Linked DNA regions of Cricetulus griseus. The protein of the gene in region 2 purifies or fractionates together with the protein of the main gene of each other region. This does not show direct contact. Links are inferred from orthologs where the notes say so. Each region holds a gene or a part of one and is shown on either strand. Other genes may lie near its edges. The genes, in order: Wdr75, Utp4 and Wdr43.

Region 1 (4,232 bases), on a different chromosome or scaffold from region 2:
CTTCTGTGGCACTGCTATACACCTTAACAAAGTCACCTGAGACACAGAAGATATACCTGGAAGAGAGAAAAATCTAAGTCTCATATATTACAAAGGCAACATAATCCTTTTGTGGCCTATTACAAAGACAACGACATGCAAATACCTTTCCAAATAGTTTAAGAACAGTACATTCAAATGCATGTGTTGTTAAACCTATGAGGATATCAAAGATGGATTCACCTGTTAACACGTAAAGGACTATGAGGTAATACAGAACCATAGCACAAACAATGGGACTAATGGTGCAGACACTGATATCCAGCTACTCTTCAGTGGTTCACTGGAGCTCCACAGCTGATTGGAGACATCAACTCACAAATGCTGAGTGAACGGTGCTCTCAATGGTTCTATCAGCTTCTTTTCCAACTGCTGAAATGCTGATTTTGTTTATACCTCTTTGGAGTTGTGGCTTCCTCCCATAAAGCAGATGCTCCTTCATAACCCAAGGTGGTTACATTCATAATAGAACTTTTCATAAGGAAAGTTCAGAAAAGATACTTGCTCGGTGCCAATTGTATCTCACACTTCCCACACATGGTGGAAGGCTCAAACCAGTGAGGACCAGTCAGGCTATTCTCTGTGTTCCCAAAGTGCCTGTGCATGAACATCCTAAGAGGAGATGTGACTGAGAGGTTGCTGAGATATAGCCTGCTTTAGCAAAACGATGACACTGAGTTGCTTACCTGTTTGCATCTTTAAAGATAGAATGTGGCTCACAATTGATGGTATGTCTATAAACTACTGGCCAACAGGTAGCTGTGTGTGTGTGTGTGTGTGTGTGTGTGTGTCTCCTCAGAGGTAGAGCTCAGTGATGGTGCTTGCCTAGTATATGCAAGGTCCTAGTGCCAATCTGCACAAACAAAGCAAAACAACCCACTATCTTTTTGGATCCTGCCAAAAGGGAGGCCTTTCATTGATATCCTCAATAAACCAGCCTAGCCTAGTGTGGTGGTTTCACTGAGAATGGAATGGCTCCCATAGATTCAGATGTTTGAATAGTTGGTTCCCAGTTGGAAAAATTATTCCTGAAGGATTACAAGGCATGACCTTGTTGGAGGAGGTGTGTCACTGGGGGCAGGCTTGAAGATTTCAAAAGCCCAAGCCATTCTCAGTTAGTTCTCTCTGAATGGAGATGCCTCAGGTACTGCTCCAGAGCCAAGATCATATCAACCATGATATGATCACAGATTCTAACCCTCTGCAACTGTGAGCTTCAAATTAAACATTTCGTTTTCTAAATTGCTTTGGTCATGGTGTTTTGTGTGTTTTGTTTTTTGAAGACAGGGTTTCTCTGTATTGCTTTGGAGGCTGTCCTGGAAAGTTCAGCTCTGTAGACCAGGCTGGCCTTGAATTCTGCCTGCCTCTGCCTCCCTAGTGCTGGGATTAAAGGCATGAGCCACCAACGCCATAAAACAATTGACAAATACAAAACAAACAAACAAAACCATCTAACTATCAGACTTGGTAAATGAAATGGACCACATACCTCATTCTAATAGCTAAGCCGAGGTGCAGTTCAATGAAGGGTGAAACTGGATATAAGGATGAGTCTGAAGGATCAGAACTGTGACAACTCTAAGCCCGTCCGTGTCCCCTCCTCCCCGCCCCCCCGTATTTCATAAAACAATGCCAACAAAACTACCTTTACTTGTAAGGACTATCTTGTAAAAACCCTTGACTTGAATGTGTGAAAGTTACTTTCATCACTCATCCATTCAACAAACCAGCTCCATACCATCATACATCCATGGGCATGGTACTCAGGGAGAGTCACCCTCCATAAATACAATCTTCAATCTTTACCCTTCTAATAAAGTTTTTTTTTTACTAAGTATCTCTATTCAGAGTACTTTGAATAAATAAATAAACAAATAAATAATTACTAAGTAATTTAAAAATACTGAGTAAATACTTAGTAGTTACTAGCGGGCGTCTCTTCTAACATGATACTATGTAGCAGCAAGGATGCCCAGCTGACTCGCAGCGTGCCATTGAGGCCAGGCGCTGTTGTAAAAGTTGTGTACACCTAGACATTTCATTCTTCCCAAACTCTGTAGACTGATTATCTCTTACAGATCTAACATCGGTTTTTACTATGTGACGTTCCAGGAAAGTAAAAAGCCTAAGTAACAATGGCGATCCAAAACGTTCCGTACGAAGAGAACGAACACTCGTCTGGGCGGAACAGCACACAGCCTGGAGCATTTTCCAGCCGCGCAGACCTGGCCTCGTTTGGCCACGCGACCTGTCCCCGCACCCGCGACCTCCCGCACGGGGGTGGAGTCCGGGAGCCCAGGCTCACCCACGCCGCAACAAGGCCAGGGTGCCCCGGGAGCTCCGGGTCTGGGCACGCGGAGTCCGGACTCGCTCTCTGCCGCGCCTGACAGTCCCCTCCCCGGCCCGAGGAGCCCGGCGCCCCGTCAGCCCCGACATACTTGGAATCCGCAGAGAACAGGGCTCTCCTGAAGTTGAGCCGGCTGCCGCCGCAGCGAACCACGCGCACGCTTTCCTCAACCATGTTCGCGCAGACGCAGGAACCGGCGAGCGCCCGCCGCACCACTAACTTCCCTCAAAGGCCGGCTAGACTGGCGCGTTTCTCCGCCGCGCTCCGCCCGGGTTTCTCTAGCTCCGACACTCTATGGTCAGGTCCGCGCCTGCGCAGCCATCTTTAGTTTGGGCGCTGTCAAATTAAGAGTGAAGCCAGACAGCCATGCACAAAATTAAACCATGCCCAATACCGCCACAACTATTTAATGCAAACAGCTTTCTCTTCGGCCTCTTCAGTCCGACTCTTATAGCCGCCGCAGAGGCAGAAGTGAGCGCCACTCCTCCCACCGAAGGTCTCGCCCTTTCTGTCCCAGGAATAGAGCGACGGCGAAATGACGCAATCACGTCGCGCCAGTTTTACCCCGGTTGCCCAATTAAGGCTTTTTTTTTTTTTTTTTTTTTTTTTTTAAGCTTGGAGCACACCTTTAATCCCAGCACTAGGGAGACAGAGGCAGGCGGATCTCTGTGAGTTCAAGAGCAGCCTGGTCTACAGAGCGAGTTCCAGGACGAGTTCCAGGACAGGGCTACACAGAGAAAACCAGTCTTCAAAACCAAGAATAAAACAAAAACAAAAGCTGCAATGGCTGTTGGGATTGCTAAGGTTGTTCAGTTCCTTTGGCTTTAGTCCTGAATTCCGAGGATGTTGATTCCTCTCTAACACTTTATATATGCATTATGTTCGTGGTTCCTGCATATTAGGGCATGTTTGTCTATATTGAGCTCTTAATGTGTCAATAATAGATCCCATTTGTGCTGAGAACCCCTAAGGAAGAGCTACTGATAGCTTAATCCTATCGGGAGCAGAGGCTTGGTACATTTGCAACTCACCACACATTTATGCTTATTCATAGCGGAAAATATATTCTCAAAGGTCAAAACAGCTTTAGACATCACAATCTCAAGATATATCTTTCATTGCTCTCTCCATCCTTCCCCCCAACTCAACCATCCGGATCCCTCCTGTTCTTATCCCCTCCCCTTTACCCTCCCACTCATCATTCCCTCTCCCATCCCTGCATCCAGTTTACCAAGGAGATCTCATCTAATTTCCCTTCCTAGGGAGATCCCTGTGTCCCTCTTAGGGTCTTCCTTGTTACCTAGTTTCTCTGGGGCTGTGGATTGTAGCCTGACTATCCTTTGCTTTACATCTAATATCCACTTATGGGTGAGTACCCCAAGGATTCTAGACTGACAGCTAGGGAGCCTGCATGGGACCAACCTAGACTCTCTGCATGTGTGTGACAGTTGTGTAGCTTGGTCTGTTTGTGGGGCCCCTAACAGTGGGACCAGGACCTGTCCTTGGCACATGAGCTGGCTTTTTAGAATCTTCCCTATGGTGGATGCCTTGCTCAGCCTTGATGCAGCAGGAAGGAGCTTGGTCCTGCCTCAACTTAAATATGCCATACTTTGTTGACTCCCATGCTTTACCCTTTCTGAGGAGTGAATGGGGGATATAAAAAGGAGGTGGGGGAGAGAATGGGAGAAGAGGGAAGAGAAACTGTGGTTGGTGTGTAAAATAAATTGAAATTTTTAATTTTACAAAGATGAAAAAATGACCCCGAAAAAGAAAATAAACAGACATCTAAAAAAAGATAATAAAAATTTAAACAAAATAGGACAAAGCAAACAGAAAAGAGTCAAAG
Region 2 (3,649 bases):
CTGGGCCAGCCTGGTCTACACAATGAGTTTCAGGATAGCCAGAGCTATACACAGAAATCCTGTCTCAGAAACAAACAAAAAAAAGGAAACCACTAAAAAAAGTCATTGAAAAGGAATTTATGGGAAAAGACACTGATCCAAAGTAGGATAGTGGCAGCACAGAAATGACTCAATTCAAAAGATAATGAGGCTCCTGATGGCTGGTGAGTTCAAGACTAGTCTGGTCTACACAAGGTGTTCAAAGCCAGCCAGTGCTACAAAGTGAGATCTTGTTTTTAAAGTTGAGAGAGGTGGGGCTGGAGATGGCTCCCCTTAACGACTGTACTTAATAGGAGTTTTGTTCGCTTGTTTTTCAGGGTGGGCTCTATTATTCAGGTGGAGAAGTTAGGTTTGTAGTGTCCTTTCAAGGTAAATGGTACCATTCCCGATAAGTTGAGAGACCTCCCCAACACCTAAGCTGGCTCTACCTCATTATCACAATATGCATATATGCAGAGCACATGTACTCGAGGGAGCTTGACTCAGAAAAGAATGGAGAGAGCTTTAGATAGCATGAGCTGTGTTCAGGCTGACTGGATAGACGGATGGGGAGATGCTGAGGGCAAGAGGGGATACTCACATGGGGAAAAGTGATTTTTCGGAGGGCAGCATCATAATTCTTCACCTCTACTTTCTCCATGAGAGGACGAATAACAAGGTGAGTGTCAGTGCCTGAAACAAAGGCAATCAATGAGAAAAATCCTTCATGAAAAGAAAACAGCCAGAGCTGGGCAGAGTAAAGAGCAGCTGGCTGGGGGAGGACCTACCTCCTGATATCAGAGCTGTTGGGCTGTGGGCCACAGTGCGTACATCGTGAGTGTGATGCTGGAATGGTTTGGTCCGTACCCACTGCTTCTCACTGCTGTTGGAAGTCACGGAGACCAGCTGAAAATGGAATACTGTGCCTTCGGCTGTACCCACCACAAAACTGTCTTCTTGCTGAGAAATTAAATGAGGGGGTAGATGTCAACATAACAGGGTTCAGATGGAAAAATATTCCTTCAGGATTTCTATCTGGGCAGCTCAGGGGAGACAAACTCATGTCCTGAATTAGAAAGGAGGTTCCTGCCTGGCAAGGTGTTGCACGCCTTTAATCCCAGCACCCAGGTGGATCTCTGAGAGTTCAAGACCATCCCAGTCTACAAATCAAGTTCTAGGGTAGCCAAGGCTACACAGAGAAACCTTGTGGTGGGTGGGGGTACCCAAGGTAAGGCAGTTCCATCAGAGGAGAAAGCTCACACAAAGGCAGTAATCGCCCCCTGCGGACAAAGTTAACAATTAGCATTCAATTAGCTACACATTCAATGACAAACCAAATATACGGACCATGAAAAGTCTAATGAACCAAAAGTTCCTATTATCTAGTAATACCATAGCTGTCAAAATGTAGCACAAAACATTACTAACAATTTACAGTGATGCTGGTATAAAACACACCTTTAAATTGTACTCTGTGGTAAACTTCTATTCTGCTGTAAGATTTTAAGAATCACAGGGTTTGGCAGGGTGGTGGTGTCACACACCTTTAATCCCAGCACTCAAAAGGCAGAGAAGGCAGATCTCTGTGAGTTTGAGGCTAGCCTGGCCTACAAAGTGAGTTCCAGGACAGGCTCCAAAGCTACAGAGAAACCCTGTCTGGAAAAACAAACAAACAAACAAACAAAATCCCCAATCTAAAAACAACAACAAAAAATAACAGGGCTGGAAAGATGGTTCAGCAGTTAGGGGCACTATTGCTTTCATCAGTTCCCAGCACACATGTAATATAATACAGCTTACAACCTCCTATAACTCCTGCTCCAAAGGGATCTGAAGCTTCTGACCTCTACACTCCAGTGCACATACCTATACCTGCACACAATCAAAAAAACAAAAACAGGATTGGAGAGATGAATCAGCAGTTAAGAGCACTAGCTGTTCTTCCAGAGGACCCAGGTTTAATTACCAGCACTCACATGGCAGCTAACAGGGATCCAACAGACACATGCAGGCACATTAAAGAGTTGGGCAGCGGTGGCTCATGCCTTTACTCCCAGCACTTGGGAGGCAGAGGCAAATCTCTGAGTTTGAAGCCAGTCTGGTCTATAAAGTGAGTTCCAGGACAGTCAGGACTACACAAAGAAACTCTATCTTGAAAAATAAAACAAAAAAGCCCAACAAAAACAACATACATATAATCTAATAGTTTATTAGATTTTGTAATCAAACCCACGTAGATAAGACCTTACATATTTAATACAGTGCGTTACCCCCTGTACAAAAGGAAAAAAATTAAGTTCAACATTTCTAGAACAATATGGCTGTTAATTTCTGTACAATGCCAACTCAACACGGTAAACTGGGATACTTTTTTCCAAAGTTGACAGCACAGCTAAAGTTTCCAAAAATTCAAATTATATATGTATATGTATGTATGTATATATATTTAAAAAAGACCAATAATAGCAGTATGTTATGAATCAATAGCGCAGCAACAGCTTTTCCAGGTTCTGCAGCCATTTGAAAAAAATTGTAGAGACATCCAGCACACTCCATTAAAAAACCACAACAACAAAAAAGTAAAAAACAAAATCCCAGGGGTTTCTTTTTTTTTTTTTTTTTTTTTTTTGGTTTTTCCAGACAGGGTTTCTCTGTGTAGCTTTGGAGCCTATCCTGGCACTCGCTCTGGAGACCAGGCTGGCCTCGAACTCACAGAGATCCACCTGCCTCTGCCTCCCGAATGCTGGGATTAAAGGCGTGTGCCACCAACACCAGGCTATGCATCAGGATTTCTTTGCCTGGCTATAACTTTTAAAATACAAACAAAAACAAAAATGTCTTACAGTTTGACATAAGACACTTGGTATTTTTATTATATAAAACATAAATTTCCTTAGTATTATTCTTATTTTTTTCTTTTTGGTTTTTGGAAACAGGGTTGCTTTGTGTAGCCCTGGCTGTTCTGGAACCAGCTCTATAGACCAGGAACTCATAGAGATCCACCTGTCTCTGCCTCCCATGTACTGGGATTAAAGGCGCGCAACACTATTATCTGGCATATCATCTTTAAAAAACAAATTTATTTATTTGTTTTGTATGTGTATACAGACACACATGTGTTTGTGTGGAGGTCAGATGACAACTTTTCGGGGCTGGTTCTCTCCTTGGTGGCAAATGCCACCAAGAAAGCCGCCTTTCTAGCCTAGCAACAACATCTTTATGAAGTTAGACATTTCTATTAAAGAATGAGGTAGGTGCTAGATCAGTGCTTACATAGTTTAGAAGGAGTTAAATTTATCTGCTGCCAGTTGTGTAAAAGAAAAGCACATACAATTGGCACATTAGGTATGCAATGTTGTAGCTTTCCCTACTACCTGTTTACATAAGAATACTCTATGAAGTTCATACAATGTTGAATTCACCTACTGATGGACTTCTCAGAATGTGTTCCTGCCATTAGGTGACTATATACAAACTATGTTCAGGACAAGAAATGAAATACCCAAAATAGATTTAAATAAGAAACATGTTAGCTGTGAGAAAACTCTTCTAAAGCACATTAGCAGTATAGGGGAAAAGATAGACCCAAAGACTGACTAGGAAGCTGGGCTTGGTGACACAAGGCTGTAAT
Region 3 (3,649 bases), on a different chromosome or scaffold from region 2:
ACACCAGGGAAGTGACTATCTTCCAGCACCTAACCCACACTTCTATAGTTTGAGATACTGGGCTGGGATTCTACAACACACAATTCTGCCTTGCCAGCTGGATTCACTACCAATGTGTTTTGTGAGGAGACATGGCTGGAGGGAAAAACTATTCCTCCTGTCCTTCTTTGCATCACCCCAACAGTTGGCTTCTTCACCCTTGATGGTGTAAACTGAAGGCAACAGGCAGTCTGAAGGAACCAGCATCACCCTTCCCTTCAGAGACATCAAGAAGCAGAAGCAGGAGCAGGAGCACCAGCCTCTGAAATATGCACCCCAAGCCCACAGTAGTGCTGGCAAAGTCAACTCCTAAGGTCTCAGCTTCAGCAGCAATTCCAAGTGCCTCCTTTGTTCCCTCAAAGGGTGAAAGCATCTTCCTTAAGCTATCACCTATACTAACTTGAAAGTCCCTCTGATCCCTTCTGACTTTACCTTTAGTCAACAGTTCTCCATACTCTTAACTCATACAGGTGAGCATTATCTACTACAGCTCTTAACAAATATTCTGTAATTGTAATGCAATTGAGATGGGAAACTGCTTCTACACAGAAAAGGCTCATCAATATCTTGAAGTATTTCTAATAATCTGTCACATCTTTTATATAAAATATGTAAATATACTTACTATTAATTTACTGTGTAATTCTCCTTTTACTGTGCTATACAATAAAATGCTACCAACTGCTGTGCCAAGAGCCAACAAATCAACCTGGTCACTCGTTCCTATAACTTCTGATTTCCTTTTTTTCCTTTGATGACTTTCCTGGAAAACAAAAAATAAAAATAACATTTTAACTACTTAGTATTTCAAATACACACATACACACCAAAACATCATTAATATATAAACACCAGTGCCCATTAGCCCTCAAAGACACTTACCCCTTTAGAAAGAGGTCAGACTGCAAACTACCACTTCCTATGTGTCAACACTCTTTCTACTTCTCAAACACTATCAAGTCTTCCTAGCAGGTCCCAGGAAAGCCTCCCCTCCCCAAGCAGAGATCCACAAGGGTTTATGAATCCGTAAGTCCAGGCCCAAATTCTTCCATTGGAACAGTCAACTCTTCCATTTTTCTCCCAAAGCTTGTTCCTCAAGCTTGTTTCATTTTCAAGAAGAAATAAACATTTTTATATCAATATACATTAACTTGGATCTAAGTTAACAAACAGCTTTGACTAGCAGTGGGATCCAGTGGCTGACTTGAGGGTTGATGTGGTGCTTTCATGCTTCTTCACTGCTTCTGCATACTTTGAAGACACAGGCATCCAACTAGTGGGGGGAAAGGCACTAAACGACCATTTCAGTAGGAATGCTCAAACAGAAAAGGGAAAGCAAATATTCAAAAACCCCAAACTTCTCAGGTCTGCAACACCCTACAAACTCTACAGCCTTAGCAGTCTCTCCTCTGTGTGGGCACACCTCTAGTCTCCATTATGTAAGAGCTTGAACCCAGCCTGGACTATCCGAAAGCAGCTGGGCAGGCAGTGGTGGCACACACCTTGAATCCTACCACTAGGGAGGCAGAGGTAAGTAGATCTCTCTGAGTTGAAGGCCAGAAAAAAAAAATAAAACATTACCAAACTCCTATTTGTCCCATCTTCTGAATCTATTTCTGGTGGACAGAAAGGCTGGTGGAAGAAATCACTTGGAGGATTTTTTTTTTCTTTTTTCTTTATTTTGGTTTTTCGAGACAGGGTTTCTCTGTAGCTTTGGAGGCTGTCCTGGAACTAGCTCTTGTAGACCAGGCTGGTCTCGAACTCACAGAGATCTGCCTGCCTCTGCCTCCCGAGTGCTGGGATTAAAGGCGTGCACCACCACCGCCTGGCACTTTGAAGGATTTTTGTACAACATCAAGGACATTAGTCTAAAGCTAAGCAATACTCTACTCAACAAAATATAATGGCTTAAAAATATTAGTGTGTGTACATATGTATATAAATGCCCAGAGGCAGGGGTATTAGATCCCTTGGAGCTCTAGTTATAGGCATCTGTAAGCCACCCAATGTGGCGCTAAGACTCAAACTCAGGCCCTCTGACTGGGACATAAGTGTTTATTCACCACCCCCAAAATCTAGTGTTGTAAATACAATTCCACACAAAACAGTCCTCAATCTAAGAGGTCAGTGCTATTGATTCTAGCTCCAACTTACACCATATTCTCTAAACTTTACACACACACTTTTCCTCCAAAAACCTCTTGCTTCTCTTAAGAACTCATACTGTGTCATAGACCAGTAAATTCTGATCTGTCCATTTCTGTTAGTCATAGCTGTTTCCTCTAAAGAGGTAAGCATCACATGAATACAGACTACACATAAAGCTTAAGGAGTGAGAAAGGTTGGCTGAAAACTGATTCAAGTACTTGTAACTGGAAAATCTGCATGGAACCACTAGAAGTGAAAACTAACAAAAAGAATGTGATTTCCTGAGTAAAGAGATTTTGAACCTGAGCTAAGTGATAACACCAGAAGCCTTTCTGATGGACGCTTATAATGCATCTGATCAAGGGCATCAAGGCTGGGGTTGTCACACGTGTGACTTCTAAAAGCAGCAAGTTATAGACAGGTGAAGACAAGGGTTTACAAAGCATGACCAAACTGCCAGAGCTCTGACTGATTCTAGTCAGCAATTAAGCAATGGCTTTTCAAACTGAGACTACAGAATCAGAGTTTGGGTACATACACAGAGACTTAGTCTTACCATTTCCTTACCTGTCCATTCTATCCACTAATGGATCAAACTCAGTCTTAAAAAATGACCTCTAGACACTGAAAATTTATGTTCAGTTTTTAGTAAGTAGCTTAAATCCATTTCTTGGCCTGTTTTAATGACACTAACTCTGACATGTATTTCATAGATAAGAATTTTAAAAAGCATATACATAGTCACAAATACATCAAAACAATGTTCTTCTGTTTCTGCGACTAGGATCTACTCTGCAACCTTTACCTTCTTTTGACACTTAAATACTTGAGGCCTCTTGACAGGAACACAGCAGAATTGTGCTAAATCACCAGTGTCTCAGTTCCATTCCCACCTAGTGCCTGCAGTGCCATGTCCTTCAGTCATGTTTACACCAAGCAGAATTTACCGTAGTAGCCAACATGAGAATGGCATGCCTGACTGCCAGGGTTCCACAACCAGAGGAAGAAGAAAGACATGTCTTGGAAAGGGGTGGGGAAGCAATAAAGATCAATTCCTAGGTGGCTTGATTGTGTGGCTCCTAGCATGACAGCTTCTGATCACAAATCTAAACCAGAGAAATGCTAAAACTGTCATGCCATAAACTTAAAGTCCTTATGATCATTCTGGAAACAGGGTAAAGTAATCTAGCTTCTTCAAACATTTATGAACCATTACTATAACCCACTACCCAAGAAACAAATGAAGCATGAATTTATCGTTCTCTGCTTATAGGAGTATCACCATACATTGTCCTTGTGGCAAACTGCTGACTACTAAACCAAGTGCAGGAAACTCTTATGAACTTATTTACATTGGAGGATACAGCACTGTGTGAGTTCAGACAGAACATTTACTGATTCATATAATGAGTACTGTCTATGGACCAGGTCTTACAACAATCATATACGTGGCCTCATTTAA

The links.
Region 1: the proteins of Utp4 (region 2) and Wdr75 purify together in Homo sapiens (co-immunoprecipitation; 3 studies listed by BioGRID and IntAct, counting the BioPlex papers as one, with this or other methods). This does not show direct contact. The link is inferred for Cricetulus griseus from reciprocal best matches to the Homo sapiens genes UTP4 and WDR75.
Region 3: the proteins of Utp4 (region 2) and Wdr43 purify together in Homo sapiens (co-immunoprecipitation; 5 studies listed by BioGRID and IntAct, counting the BioPlex papers as one, with this or other methods). This does not show direct contact. The link is inferred for Cricetulus griseus from reciprocal best matches to the Homo sapiens genes UTP4 and WDR43.

What each region holds. Positions count from the first base shown.
Region 1 is NC_048595.1:402,297,434-402,301,665, reverse strand, and holds the start of Wdr75 (WD repeat-containing protein 75), read right to left. Parts: upstream 2,910-4,232; 5' UTR 2,561-2,909; coding exon 2,478-2,560; intron 57-2,477; coding exon 1-56. UniProt on the Homo sapiens protein: Ribosome biogenesis factor. Part of the small subunit (SSU) processome, first precursor of the small eukaryotic ribosomal subunit.
Region 2 is NC_048596.1:183,222,295-183,225,943, reverse strand, and holds part of Utp4 (U3 small nucleolar RNA-associated protein 4 homolog), read right to left. Parts: intron 979-3,649; coding exon 807-978; intron 712-806; coding exon 620-711; intron 1-619. UniProt on the Homo sapiens protein: Ribosome biogenesis factor. Involved in nucleolar processing of pre-18S ribosomal RNA. Part of the small subunit (SSU) processome, first precursor of the small eukaryotic ribosomal subunit.
Region 3 is NC_048600.1:11,921,502-11,925,150, forward strand, and holds part of Wdr43 (WD repeat-containing protein 43), read right to left. Parts: intron 803-3,649; coding exon 665-802; intron 1-664. UniProt on the Homo sapiens protein: Ribosome biogenesis factor that coordinates hyperactive transcription and ribogenesis. Part of the small subunit (SSU) processome, first precursor of the small eukaryotic ribosomal subunit.